Linked DNA regions of Saccharomyces cerevisiae S288C. The protein of the gene in region 1 interacts with the protein of each later gene in a biochemical or structural test. Each region holds a gene or a part of one and is shown in the gene's direction. Other genes may lie near its edges.

Region 1 (4,521 bases):
ACACCAAATGATGAATAACAACGGCAACCAAGTGTCGAATCTCTCCAATGCGCTCCGTCAAGTAAACATAGGAAACAGGAACAGTAATACAACCACCGATCAAAGTAATATAAATTTTGAATTTTCAACAGGTGTAAATAATAATAATAATAACAATAGCAGTAGTAATAACAATAATGTTCAAAACAATAACAGCGGCCGCAATGGTAGCCAAAATAATGATAACGAGAATAATATCAAGAATACCTTAGAACAACATCGACAACAACAACAGGCATTTTCGGATATGAGTCACGTGGAGTATTCCAGAATTACAAAATTTTTTCAAGAACAACCACTGGAGGGATATACCCTTTTCTCTCACAGGTCTGCGCCTAATGGATTCAAAGTTGCTATAGTACTAAGTGAACTTGGATTTCATTATAACACAATCTTCCTAGATTTCAATCTTGGCGAACATAGGGCCCCCGAATTTGTGTCTGTGAACCCTAATGCAAGAGTTCCAGCTTTAATCGATCATGGTATGGACAACTTGTCTATTTGGGAATCAGGGGCGATTTTATTACATTTGGTAAATAAATATTACAAAGAGACTGGTAATCCATTACTCTGGTCCGATGATTTAGCTGACCAATCACAAATCAACGCATGGTTGTTCTTCCAAACGTCAGGGCATGCGCCAATGATTGGACAAGCTTTACATTTCAGATACTTCCATTCACAAAAGATAGCAAGTGCTGTAGAAAGATATACGGATGAGGTTAGAAGAGTTTACGGTGTAGTGGAGATGGCCTTGGCTGAACGTAGAGAAGCGCTGGTGATGGAATTAGACACGGAAAATGCGGCTGCATACTCAGCTGGTACAACACCAATGTCACAAAGTCGTTTCTTTGATTATCCCGTATGGCTTGTAGGAGATAAATTAACTATAGCAGATTTGGCCTTTGTCCCATGGAATAATGTCGTGGATAGAATTGGCATTAATATCAAAATTGAATTTCCAGAAGTTTACAAATGGACGAAGCATATGATGAGAAGACCCGCGGTCATCAAGGCATTGCGTGGTGAATGAAGGCTGCTTTAAAAACAAGAAAGAAAGAAGAAGGAGGAAAAGAAGGTTATAAGGGTATGTATATAGGCAGACAAAAAGGAAAATTAAGTGCAAATATAAACAAAAATGTCATAGAAGTATATAATAGTTTTGAAATTTCTGTTGCTTCTATTTATTCTTTGTTACCCCAACCACAGAATTCCAAAATTTTGTTTTATGTAATAATTGAAATACTATAAATTTCTCAACTATATTCGGGGTGTTGTCACTGTATATCTGGCGCTTTCAATAAAGCTGGTACAATTGCGTATTTTTCTCGGCATTTGCCACGATGGGCTTAAGAAAGATCACAATAGAAAATTTCAAATATTTAATATTTGCGAAGAAGGGATTTGTTCAGTTATGACGATTAGATACATATGTAACTTACATGCAAACGGTTTTTGTTCATGGAAATACGTTCTAGTGAATGTATAAATCGATTGATGTCGAGATATGAAAAGTTTACAAACACTATGTGAAATCTCATTGATGAGAAATCATTCAAACATACAATCTGTGAGTAATGTCCCCTATCACTTATTAAAGAGGATACTGCAGAAAGTAAAAATACCACAACTATTAAAACTTGAGAAAAGCAACGTACTATTGATATTTGACGATGATGAACTATGGTTAGAATTTTTAAGGCAAGATTTCCCGACTAATGTACACGAACAATTTGTCTCTAAGAGAGACATTATTTGCAAATATTACTTTGATTTCGTTAAGGAAAACGATATAGAACTGTACCATTCGAATCAGGATTTATTGAAGTCTTGCGTGCGTCAATCAGTCGTCAAAGACATCCGAAACAACAAGTACCGAATACCATACAGAATGTTATACTCAAAGTACCAACAAGAAGTGGAAAAGAAACAAGAGGAAAGCGCAGAGAGATTAAGGCTGGAAATGCAGAAGTTGCAGCAAGAAAGAGAAAAAAAGCAAACCATAGTGGTTGACCACACTGTTTACTTCAAAAAGAGAAACACCAAGAAGACTACAAGGTTGCACAACGAACCCCATTCGCAATTATACATGAAATCGTTGAAAGATCACGAGTCCAGACTAAAGCATTTCAAAGACGGCGGATTCAACATTGCAAAAAGGCATGCGCAACGTGTGGCCTTTGGTGGCCAAGCGGGCGGACAATCGTCTTCCCCCAAGAAAGGCCCATTGTCCATCAAACCGGAGCCTGTTAAGGTAAATCGTCAAATGGATAATGTCACAGCAGAGAAGAAAGATGTTACGCAGCCCATCACGCCGGTGAAGAAGAGAAGATCCGAATCACCGTCAATCTTTCTCAATCGTAAAAAACCTGCGCTATTCAGGCCTACTCCGAAGACAAACGCTGCAGGTTCTCGACCCCATACAACAGCGATCACCAACGATCACCGTACTACTTCTCATCCTTATCCCCACAAAGATGTTGTAACTTCAATATCAAGTGTCACCGCAAATCCCGTAACAAAGGGCCACAAGAAGAAGAAATCCGGAATTTTCGTACGAAATGCCGGATCTGACGGAGATAGTTTTCCGCACGTGACCGCAACCGGCCCTACTACCCGTCCGTATATCTATGAGCCACGGAAATAGCAGTAACCCAACTCCGAAGGCCGTCACATCCCCTGCGATTTCCCACGGGTCCAGTCATTCCGCGGAGAAAGAAAGCAACCGGAAGCAACGGCATCCCTGCTTATAAGCGATTTTCGCGTTGCGCGTCATCTTTTTGTCTTCCGTCTTAGTAATTTTTATGATTTTTTTCATTCCACCCGACTCTATTTGAGTGCAAGCATGCGATATATCTCTCTATATATTGCCAGATCTTTATCGCAATAGGTTCATGCACTATATGCGCATCCCACTCTTGTACATGCACAATATTGTGCTCATTGTCTGAATATATATATATTTATATATATATATGTATGTATATATATCAGTTCTAGATAGACTAATACCACTTCTTCGTTAGAAAAATATTTCAATCCTTATTTTGTTTCTAACTGTTCCCTTCTCTCCATCCAACAAATAATACAAAACCACTTTATATAAAAAAAATTACAAAAGCAAAAAATGTTCAAGAGATTTAGCAAAAAGAAGGAGGCTCCAGAAGACCCAAAAAATTTGATTAATATTGATAAGCCTATCAAAGAACTTCCTGCTTCGATAGCTATTCCAAAAGAAAAACCACTTACAGGTGAGCAACAAAAAATGTATGACGAAGTGCTAAAACATTTCAGTAACCCTGACTTGAAGGTTTATACAAGTGAAAAAAATAAGTCGGAGGATGATCTTAAACCCTTAGAGGAAGAAGAAAAGGCATGGTTGACAAGAGAATGTTTTTTACGTTACCTAAGGGCTACTAAATGGGTGCTAAAAGACTGTATCGATAGAATCACCATGACTCTAGCGTGGAGAAGAGAATTCGGTATTAGTCATTTAGGTGAAGAGCATGGTGATAAAATAACTGCTGACTTGGTGGCCGTCGAGAACGAATCAGGTAAGCAGGTGATTTTGGGTTACGAAAACGATGCTAGACCTATCTTATATTTGAAACCGGGCAGACAAAATACAAAGACTTCTCACAGACAGGTACAGCACTTGGTCTTCATGTTGGAAAGAGTTATCGATTTTATGCCAGCTGGTCAAGACTCTCTAGCTTTGCTAATAGACTTTAAAGATTACCCTGATGTTCCTAAAGTACCTGGCAATAGTAAAATCCCACCTATTGGTGTAGGGAAAGAAGTGCTGCATATTCTACAAACTCATTATCCAGAAAGACTAGGAAAAGCACTTTTGACGAATATTCCTTGGTTAGCATGGACTTTCTTGAAGTTAATTCACCCTTTTATTGACCCACTGACCCGTGAAAAGCTAGTTTTTGATGAACCATTTGTTAAATATGTCCCTAAGAACGAACTAGATTCGTTGTATGGTGGTGATCTGAAATTCAAGTACAATCATGATGTTTATTGGCCAGCTCTGGTGGAAACCGCGCGTGAAAAAAGAGATCATTATTTTAAGAGGTTTCAAAGCTTCGGTGGTATTGTAGGTTTAAGTGAGGTTGATTTAAGAGGTACTCATGAAAAACTTCTTTACCCAGTAAAATCGGAAAGCAGTACCGTGTAAAGGCAAATTTAGATAGATAATGATAATGCACTATAATATATAATAAATAAAAGAGAATAAAAAGTTTAATCACGTTCCCGCTTCTTTTTCCTAACCATCAAAGAATGCAATCTAAAGAAGAAGAAGCGAATACCCTCTTTTAAATATATACGCGTCTATATGCACTGTAGATAAGCTGTTACATATCAAAAAGGTTTGGCACATTTGCGCTTTTCTGTAGCGCCTGTAACCGGTGAAGTCATCATTTGCCAGTCTGTAGCATACATCAATCCACCAGCACCATTAGCAGCTCTGGCGAA
Region 2 (6,317 bases), on another chromosome or scaffold:
AAATATCTTGTATCGTTTAGCATAGTTGCTTTCTTGACTTTTTTATGGGAAATGGTCTTTTTAGTCATTGGTTTTGGAGGATCTTGGGAAAGATTATTCAAAGCCAAAACTTCCATTTCCCCAGTCATTGAACCCAGAATAACAATGTCTGAGTCAGATATATCAAAGATTTCCGAGTCTTTCACACTGAGAGTTTGCCTAATGATCCAATTGTCTATTATCACGCAGAACTTCTGCGTGGGGGAAAGAGGCACTTCACCCCATATTTGCACAGTATGGTTTTTCTCCATTTCAAAACAAGACCATATTCTCAGAACTTTATCTTCACACAGCGTATAAAGAGCATGAGAGGCAGTGTTGTTTTTACTCACCTGGTCTGGCTCTTTTTTCCACCGCATTGCAGTTATAGGTTTCGGATGAGGCAACATAGTAAGGTTAAAGATGGCTTGTTCTCCGACTATTGAAACACGCTTCCATAGTTTAGCATTACAGTCGTACTTCCCAATACTGACTATCAGCTGCGAATCTTGTGATATAATCACATTATAAACAGGTTTAGGCTGTTTTTGGTTCCACTGCAAAATAGGTTGATACACACCAAAATTATCCTTAATTTTCCAAAAAGAAAGAAAATCAGATCCAATGGCTAACTCATTATCAGAAGACCATCTTAGGCAGTTTACTGGCGTGTCATCATGGAACAACTGGCAACATTGGGTCCACTTGGGATTCTGCATAATTTGATGAATGGGCTTGTAGATGAGCACCCTATTGTGGAAGGAAAGGGCAATGAATCCATTCTGGCTGTTAATATCGACCGCAGTACAGTCTGATTGTGTATATATGGTCTGTAACCTAGTGAATTTGTTGGTAAGTATGATTAAATTATTCCCTGAACAATATGCAAAGATGGTATGATTTTGCCATGTTGCTTGACAAGCTGTCTGAGGGGTAGCATTGGGGCGTCCTGGAAGAAAGTTCAATGACATGAGAACTACCTTTGCGTGTGCACGTTTGTTTACTTTCTCAATTGTTTGCGGTGTTCTTAGATCCCTTTAATTATTAAAAAAACTGAAGTGCTTGAAACAATAACATAACGAGGTTTCGCTATGCGGGCAGCTTTAAAGAAAGAGGGATAGTATATTAAAAGGCTGCCATAACAATTAATCGGAACAGAATAGACACAAATAAATTTGCAGTGCGTTTGTAGATATCAAAGAATGGTAGCTAGTTGTAAAGATCAGAAGAAGGCTGTCGCTATATGTTTGCAGAGATCGCCCTGTGTCATGATAGAGAGACATAACCCTCAAGAATGTCTTGACAATCCAGAGCTGAATAAGGATCTGCCCGAACTTTGTATTGCTCAGATGAAAGCATTTTTGGATTGTAAGCGAGGAATCGTCGACATGACTAAGCGGTTCACAGGTAACGCACCTCTGTCGACTGGCAAGTACGATCAACAGTACGAAAACTTGTGCAAAGGAAAGTTTGATCCGAGGGAGGAGATGGAAAAGCTAAAACTTCTGAACAGCCAGCAGAAGGACTGATTATTTATGAAAATTGGCCTGTAAATATATACATAAATAAATATATGCGTCAAGCTCTTTTATTCGGTTTGTCCAGTAATCCTCTTACAATATATATATATATATATACGCATGTAGCGTATTCAAGAACATTACATTTAAAAAATAGAGGGTAGAACAATAAAAATGCACTTAACAAGTTCCGTAAGTAGAAATTATAATCAGTCTAAGTACAAATTTATACCTTAGCTTCATTTCAGTTAAGGGCGATGCAATAAAAGTGGAAGAAAAAAAAAGAAGGGAAGAGGTTTGATAATATATATATATATATATATATAACATTGCTCAGAGAAACATACATCAGTGATGGAAGATAAAGAGCAGCAAGACAATGCGAAACTTGAAAACAATGAGTCACTAAAAGATCTGGGAGTTAACGTGCTTTCCCAAAGCAGTTTGGAGGAAAAAATAGCTAATGATGTAACTAACTTTAGCAACCTACAATCGCTGCAGCAAGAAGAGACTCGTCTAGAACGGAGTAAGACCGCTCTGCAACGTTATGTCAATAAGAAGAATCATCTCACAAGGAAGTTGAACAATACCACTAGGATATCTGTTAAGCAGAATCTCCGAGACCAGATCAAGAACTTACAATCAGACGATATTGAACGAGTTCTGAAGGACATAGACGATATCCAATCAAGGATTAAAGAGTTGAAAGAGCAGGTAGATCAAGGTGCTGAAAATAAAGGTTCCAAAGAGGGGCTGCAGAGACCCGGTGAAACTGAGAAGGAGTTTTTAATCAGGACTGGTAAGATCACTGCATTTGGACACAAGGCTGGTTTCAGCTTGGACACTGCAAACAGAGAGTATGCCAAGAATGACGAACAAAAAGATGAGGATTTTGAAATGGCAACAGAACAAATGGTAGAAAATTTAACGGATGAGGATGACAATCTCAGCGATCAAGACTATCAAATGAGTGGTAAAGAGAGTGAAGATGACGAAGAAGAAGAAAATGACGATAAAATTCTCAAAGAACTGGAAGACCTGCGGTTCAGAGGCCAACCTGGTGAGGCGAAGGATGATGGGGACGAGTTGTATTATCAAGAAAGGTTAAAAAAATGGGTGAAACAACGTTCTTGCGGTAGTCAAAGGTCATCGGACTTGCCAGAATGGCGAAGACCTCATCCGAATATTCCCGACGCAAAACTTAATAGCCAGTTCAAAATACCCGGTGAAATATACTCGCTGTTATTTAATTACCAAAAGACGTGCGTTCAGTGGCTCTATGAGCTTTACCAGCAGAACTGTGGCGGTATTATTGGTGACGAAATGGGTCTGGGAAAAACGATTCAAGTTATCGCATTTATCGCAGCGTTGCATCATTCAGGTCTATTAACAGGCCCTGTATTAATTGTCTGTCCTGCAACTGTGATGAAGCAATGGTGTAATGAGTTCCAGCATTGGTGGCCTCCATTGAGGACGGTCATATTGCACTCAATGGGTTCAGGAATGGCTTCTGACCAAAAATTTAAGATGGATGAAAACGATCTAGAGAACTTGATAATGAATTCAAAGCCAAGTGATTTTTCTTACGAGGATTGGAAGAACTCAACAAGGACAAAGAAGGCATTGGAATCAAGCTATCATTTAGATAAGTTGATAGATAAAGTCGTTACTGATGGGCACATTTTAATTACCACGTACGTTGGGTTAAGAATACATTCAGATAAGCTACTAAAAGTTAAATGGCAGTATGCTGTTTTAGATGAGGGACATAAGATTAGAAACCCAGATTCGGAGATTTCATTGACTTGCAAAAAACTGAAGACACATAATAGGATCATTCTTTCAGGAACACCGATACAGAATAATTTAACCGAGCTTTGGTCGCTTTTTGATTTCATTTTCCCTGGTAAATTAGGAACTCTACCTGTGTTTCAACAACAGTTTGTCATACCTATAAATATTGGTGGTTATGCAAACGCAACAAACATACAAGTTCAGACCGGCTACAAATGTGCTGTTGCATTGCGTGACTTGATTTCACCGTACCTGTTACGTCGTGTGAAAGCTGATGTTGCAAAAGATCTGCCACAAAAGAAAGAAATGGTTCTCTTTTGTAAGCTTACGAAATATCAAAGAAGCAAATATTTGGAGTTTCTGCATTCTTCAGATTTAAACCAAATACAAAACGGTAAGAGAAATGTTCTATTTGGTATCGACATTCTAAGGAAAATATGTAATCACCCCGATTTACTTGACAGAGATACAAAGAGACATAATCCAGATTACGGTGATCCTAAAAGATCCGGAAAAATGCAGGTTGTCAAGCAATTATTATTACTGTGGCATAAGCAGGGCTATAAAGCCCTACTCTTCACTCAATCGAGACAAATGCTCGATATTCTAGAGGAGTTTATATCAACGAAAGATCCCGATTTATCACATTTGAACTACCTACGAATGGATGGGACAACTAATATCAAAGGGAGACAGTCGTTAGTTGACCGGTTTAACAATGAATCTTTCGATGTATTCTTACTAACCACAAGAGTTGGGGGGCTAGGTGTTAATTTAACCGGTGCTAATAGAATTATCATTTTTGATCCAGACTGGAACCCATCTACTGACATGCAAGCTCGAGAAAGGGCATGGAGGATTGGGCAGAAAAGAGAGGTATCAATATATAGGTTGATGGTAGGAGGTTCAATAGAGGAGAAGATTTATCATAGACAAATATTCAAACAATTCTTAACCAACAGGATTTTGACTGATCCTAAGCAGAAACGATTTTTCAAAATTCACGAACTCCATGATCTGTTTTCACTGGGGGGTGAAAACGGTTATTCTACAGAAGAATTGAACGAAGAAGTTCAAAAACATACCGAAAATTTAAAAAATTCCAAATCAGAGGAAAGTGACGATTTTGAACAACTGGTCAACCTATCTGGCGTATCTAAACTAGAAAGCTTTTATAACGGTAAGGAAAAAAAAGAGAATAGTAAAACAGAGGATGATAGATTAATCGAAGGGTTGCTAGGAGGAGAGAGCAATTTAGAAACCGTTATGAGTCATGATTCGGTTGTCAATTCGCACGCGGGCAGTTCTTCTTCGAATATAATTACAAAAGAGGCTTCCAGAGTAGCGATTGAGGCGGTTAATGCGCTAAGGAAATCGAGAAAAAAGATCACTAAGCAATATGAAATTGGGACACCTACTTGGACAGGTAGGTTTGGTAAAGCAGGTAAAATTAGAAAGAGAGATCCGTTGAAAAATAAATTAACTGGATCAGCTGCCATTTTAGGCAATATTACAAAATCACAAAAAGAGGCATCCAAGGAAGCTCGCCAAGAAAATTACGACGATGGTATAACCTTCGCAAGATCCAAGGAAATCAATTCCAATACCAAAACGCTAGAAAATATTCGGGCATATTTACAGAAACAGAATAACTTTTTCTCATCTAGTGTTAGCATACTTAACAGCATTGGCGTCAGTCTTTCTGATAAAGAAGACGTTATTAAGGTTAGAGCATTATTAAAAACCATAGCACAGTTTGATAAAGAGCGTAAAGGGTGGGTGCTTGATGAAGAATTTAGGAATAACAATGCTTCATGAAAACTTAGAATGGACAGAGTACCCTTGACGTAACTTTACCCATAGAAATATCTATAAAAAATATGTATGTGTTATGTGTATATGTATATTCTGAAGACTCTTAGCGGAACCCGTAACCTTCAGATTCATTAATTGCCCAAAGTAATTTCAGTTCTAGTTTTTTTTTCGAGGAATAATTCCATAAACATATTTCATTAAAACATGTATGAGCCAATGGCAAATCATCACTATCATGCGACCCTAGCAAGCTAATTTTGAATGGGATAGTAGAGATACCCGTTGCAGGTATACGATCAGATGCCGTTACGAATTGTAATAATTTCTTCTGCAATGGATAGTCCCAACTTTCAATAATTTCCCAAAACCAGCAAACCGCTCTGGAATCATCGGAGAAGCCACCTACATACTTTGTCACGGATCTTAACGATTTGAAATCAAATTTAGTTTGTTCCTCATCACCACACACTAATCTCTCCAGCTCTTCAGAATTAAATAATTTTATAGAATTGCATTCTGCGAAGACCCTTTTAAAACCTGAAACAAATTTATTGTATTGTGGCTCAATGGACTTTTCCAGATAAAATTCTACCCATTTCATGACAAACTCATGCTTGTTACTTTGGGTTATTGGCACATTTCTGCCATTTTCACATAATTCTACCGTTACATACTCTTTGCTCGATTTACTGTCATTTAAAATCCAGTTGTTATTTCGATACGTAGTCTCAAATGTTAAAGAAAAGACGTCTTCGAAATTATCCTCTGTGTAATTGAGCATTTTTATTAAGTTCCTACTTGTCTCCGGAAACAATTCCGAGTAATCTTCAAAACTCAGAGGCTCTGAGCATAGTTTTTTATAAAGCGCCTTTGGAAATTGTAAATCTAATATGGTACTGTTGAAAATCGCCAACCCCATGACAACTCCAAACAAGTAATATAATTCCAGTTGTGAGTTTTTTCCTTTTGATTTGTCAAAATTTGGAGGGTCAATGGCAAACCATGAACGTGAGCTTTCTTTTATGTAAATAAATAAGCCATTCATCGGATTAAACAGCGATTTTGTTAATAAGAAAAACCATTCTTTTCTCAACCCTCCCGCATCAATTCCAGGTTCATTAACAAACTCTATTCTCAGCGATTTTAATAAATCGCCTTGATGTTCCTTGA
Region 3 (3,926 bases), on another chromosome or scaffold:
TTTACCGACAATCCTTGCATCAATAGTGTAATTGATCGAAAGGTTGTCATCAGACATATCGTTAGTTAAGATGGGGGAGCCCTTTGTACCTAAATGACCGCACCCAAGTACCCTATTGACTTTGATACCGGAATATTTGCAATTGTTCCTATATTTATCAATACCAAAACTGGGAGGTAACAAACAATGAGAGAAATGCTCCTGCTTACAAGTGACATCTAGCAATTGCAGTGGCAATTTGAAAATGAAGAATTTCTTGTACTTGACTCCGGGTTCCAGAACCCGGCTATTGTTTAGCCCAAATACAGAACCATCGTAGTCAACATCTGCGGGAATGAAGTCCACACCGGACCCCAGTGCTATTTTCGAGTATGACCAAGAAGCGCTCAAGTCTACCATCCTTAAAAACCGTTTAATCGTTCTTTTACTCTTTACTTTATCAATAATGGAAATGTAAGACTCTAAAGTGACATAGAACATTTCAAACTTTAGGTTTGCTTGAGATTTGTTTTCAATAGTGATAAAACCATGAATCAAATCCCCCGACGTATACTCTTTCAAAATGGACTCCTCCTCCGGCTTCACGTGTGGTATAGGTGCATGCTTCGTCGTCTTGATGGTGATTTCGATGGGTGTGGACATTTTTGGTAAAGTGTACAATTTGTCGATGAAAATGTTGTCTGTATCGTTCAAGTCATCAAGTATGGGAGGTATATCCAGTGAATCTTCATCGACAGCGGTTGATTGATGTGCTGCAATACTGTGATGTTCGGTTCGAAGGGGAATTAAGTTTTCTAAATTTGATGTTGACGAAGAACGTGTGGCACCCAATGCGTCAGTGGACAATGATTGATGTGAGAGATCAGCGCTCGAGCCCGCAGCACCTGTTGCAGTAGAATTATTGGCCTCTTGGTATGAAGGTGGGAAATCATGCCTATCTGGATCGACGTTGCCCTGCGGAATGTGCCTATGCAGGGTATTGTACATCTCAAATGAGGGCAGTACATCAACAACATTGTTGATATCTCCGTCGGTCAAGGACCTTCCGGTCTCGACGGGGGTCGCATTTGCAGTTGATCTTCTCAAAGGAGAACGATTACCTCCAGCAGGCGTTCCGGTGGAAGGAGCATGCGAATGAGAATGTGCTAGTTCGGGACGTCTTAGTCCAAGGATCCCCGTAGCAGACGCGCTTCTTATCCATGATTTTGGAGAGTGTAACGACGGTGACCTCGAACTGCCTTTACCACCCTCTTGTTTCTGCCTACCACGCCCCCTTGTGTTTGCATTAACGTTCATAGTTGTCGAACTATTTGCGGTAAAATCAGATCGTTGAGGACGCAGCAAAGGCTTCCTCTTCGGTGGAAACCCCGAATCGTTCAAATCTTTGGCCATTTAGCGTACGATATACCTGTTGACACACACGAACAGTCTCTTTTCGCCCTTGCTAAGAGCTTCTTTCCATAATCACTATGCGGCTCTTCATTGCAATACTTTTATCATTATTAAAATAGCCTCTGAGAGCGGGTCACGGCCCGCTGAAGGGAAAGAACAATTTAAAGCCAGTTTTAAGTTCAATCCACCGATGGACGAGAGGCAAATAAGACGGATCAAAGACACCGAATCATTCTAGCACGATAATGTCGTTGAATATACATATCAAGTCAGGACAAGACAAGTGGGAAGTAAATGTGGCACCTGAAAGCACAGTGTTGCAATTCAAGGAGGCGATAAACAAAGCGAACGGTATCCCGGTGGCAAATCAGAGATTGATCTACTCGGGTAAGATTTTAAAGGACGACCAAACCGTGGAGTCATACCACATTCAAGACGGTCACAGCGTCCATCTGGTCAAGTCACAACCCAAACCACAAACCGCCAGTGCCGCTGGCGCAAATAACGCCACCGCCACCGGTGCAGCAGCTGGCACTGGCGCCACCCCGAACATGTCGTCAGGTCAAAGTGCAGGCTTCAATCCGCTGGCCGACTTGACCAGTGCCAGATACGCTGGATATTTGAATATGCCATCTGCAGACATGTTTGGCCCGGACGGTGGTGCATTAAACAACGACTCGAATAACCAAGACGAGCTGTTGAGGATGATGGAAAACCCCATCTTCCAATCGCAAATGAACGAGATGTTGAGTAACCCTCAGATGTTGGACTTTATGATCCAGTCCAACCCGCAATTGCAGGCCATGGGTCCACAAGCCAGGCAAATGCTACAAAGTCCCATGTTTAGACAGATGCTCACCAATCCTGATATGATTAGACAGAGCATGCAATTCGCAAGAATGATGGACCCTAATGCCGGTATGGGCTCTGCAGGTGGGGCTGCCTCTGCCTTCCCCGCTCCTGGTGGCGATGCTCCAGAGGAAGGCTCCAACACGAACACTACTTCCTCATCCAACACAGGGAACAACGCAGGGACTAATGCAGGTACCAACGCAGGCGCTAACACAGCTGCAAACCCATTTGCGTCTCTTCTGAACCCTGCATTAAACCCCTTTGCTAACGCGGGAAACGCTGCATCCACCGGGATGCCCGCCTTCGATCCTGCATTGCTAGCGTCTATGTTCCAACCCCCTGTACAAGCATCTCAAGCAGAAGACACCAGACCACCGGAAGAACGCTATGAACATCAATTAAGACAACTAAACGACATGGGCTTCTTCGATTTCGATAGAAACGTCGCAGCCCTCAGGAGAAGCGGTGGCTCCGTCCAAGGCGCTCTTGATTCACTACTGAACGGCGATGTTTAAATAAACGTCTAGATGCCGCAACCTATATACTTTTACCCTACTCTATCGGCATATATTTAATCTACGTATTACATGTATCCATCAATAATATCATCATAATATCTGGACACTTTTGGAAGACGCGCCCTTGCGAAAGAAAAAAAAAAATTTTCGTTTCACACCTACAGTAATAAACACATAATAACAACGAGCTAATCATCCCAATCAATCACCCCTTCCCCCTTTAATTAGCAGCCAGGGTACTGTATTTAGTCATATAGCGGTACTTGCATTGACCGCGAACGTGTAAACACAAGCAAAGCAGATTATGACCACACAAATAAGGTCTCCCCAAGGCTTGCCGTATCCGATTCAGATCGATAAACTCATTCCAAGCGTAGGTTCGTACCTTCATGAGGGTGATAGGTTGCTTGTCTATAAGTTCTGGTATTTGGTGGAAAGGGCCTCAGACACTGGTGACGATGATAACGAGCACGATGTTTCCCCCGGCGGCAGCGCCGGAAGTAATGGTGTCTCTCCGCCAACCAAACAACTGCGTGAATCCATAGAATTCTTCGAAAGTCCCTACGAGGGGGACTTGATTAGTTGGAATGTAGACGTAGGAGATGAAGTAGCCACTGCTAACCAAGTGATTTGCGAAATAAAAAGGCCATGTAACCATGACATCGTGTATGGCGGGCTATGTACTCAATGCGGGAAAGAAGTTTCTGCAGATGCCTTCGATGGTGTACCACTAGACGTTGTCGGGGACGTGGATTTACAGATTAGCGAGACAGAAGCCATTAGAACAGGCAAGGCATTGAAGGAGCATTTGCGACGGGATAAGAAACTTATCTTAGTGGTGGATTTAGATCAAACCATCATCCATTGTGGCGTGGACCCTACGATTGCAGAGTGGAAGAACGACCCCAATAATCCGAATTTTGAAACATTAAGAGACGTCAAGAGCTTTACGTTGGATGAGGAGTTAGTACTCCCACTTATGTACATGAATGACGATGGTTCTATGCTGAGACCGCCTCCCGTAAGAAAATGTTGGTACTACGTGAAGGTAAGGCCCGGTTTAAAGGAATTTTTCGCTAAAGTGGCGCCTCTTTTTGAAATGCATATCTACACAATGGCTACAAGGGCTTATGCCTTGCAAATTGCCAAAATCGTGGACCCTAC

The links. The genes of interacting proteins can lie anywhere in the genome.
Region 2: the proteins of ELA1 (region 1) and RAD26 form a complex in vitro, tested with the Saccharomyces cerevisiae proteins (one study listed by BioGRID).
Region 3: the proteins of ELA1 (region 1) and DSK2 form a complex in vitro, tested with the Saccharomyces cerevisiae proteins (one study listed by BioGRID).

Annotation. Positions count from the first base shown.
Region 1 is NC_001146.8:215,688-220,208, reverse strand, and holds ELA1 (elongin A), read left to right. Parts: upstream 1-1,546; coding exon 1,547-2,686; downstream 2,687-4,521. Other genes in the region: URE2 (glutathione peroxidase), read left to right, coding at 8-1,072; PDR16 (phosphatidylinositol transporter), read left to right, coding at 3,167-4,222; exosome non-catalytic core subunit CSL4, read right to left, coding at 4,408-4,521.
Region 2 is NC_001142.9:495,463-501,779, forward strand, and holds RAD26 (DNA-dependent ATPase RAD26), read left to right. Parts: upstream 1-1,892; coding exon 1,893-5,150; downstream 5,151-6,317. Other genes in the region: RAV1 (Rav1p), read right to left, coding at 1-989; PET191 (Pet191p), read left to right, coding at 1,221-1,547; putative E3 ubiquitin-protein ligase HUL4, read right to left, coding at 5,251-6,317. UniProt on the Saccharomyces cerevisiae protein: May be involved in the preferential repair of active genes.
Region 3 is NC_001145.3:817,190-821,115, forward strand, and holds DSK2 (ubiquitin domain-containing protein DSK2), read left to right. Parts: upstream 1-1,637; coding exon 1,638-2,759; downstream 2,760-3,926. Other genes in the region: ubiquitin-ubiquitin ligase BUL1, read right to left, coding at 1-1,392; FCP1 (protein serine/threonine phosphatase), read left to right, coding at 3,067-3,926. UniProt on the Saccharomyces cerevisiae protein: Involved, with RAD23 in spindle pole body duplication. Involved in the ubiquitin-proteasome proteolytic pathway.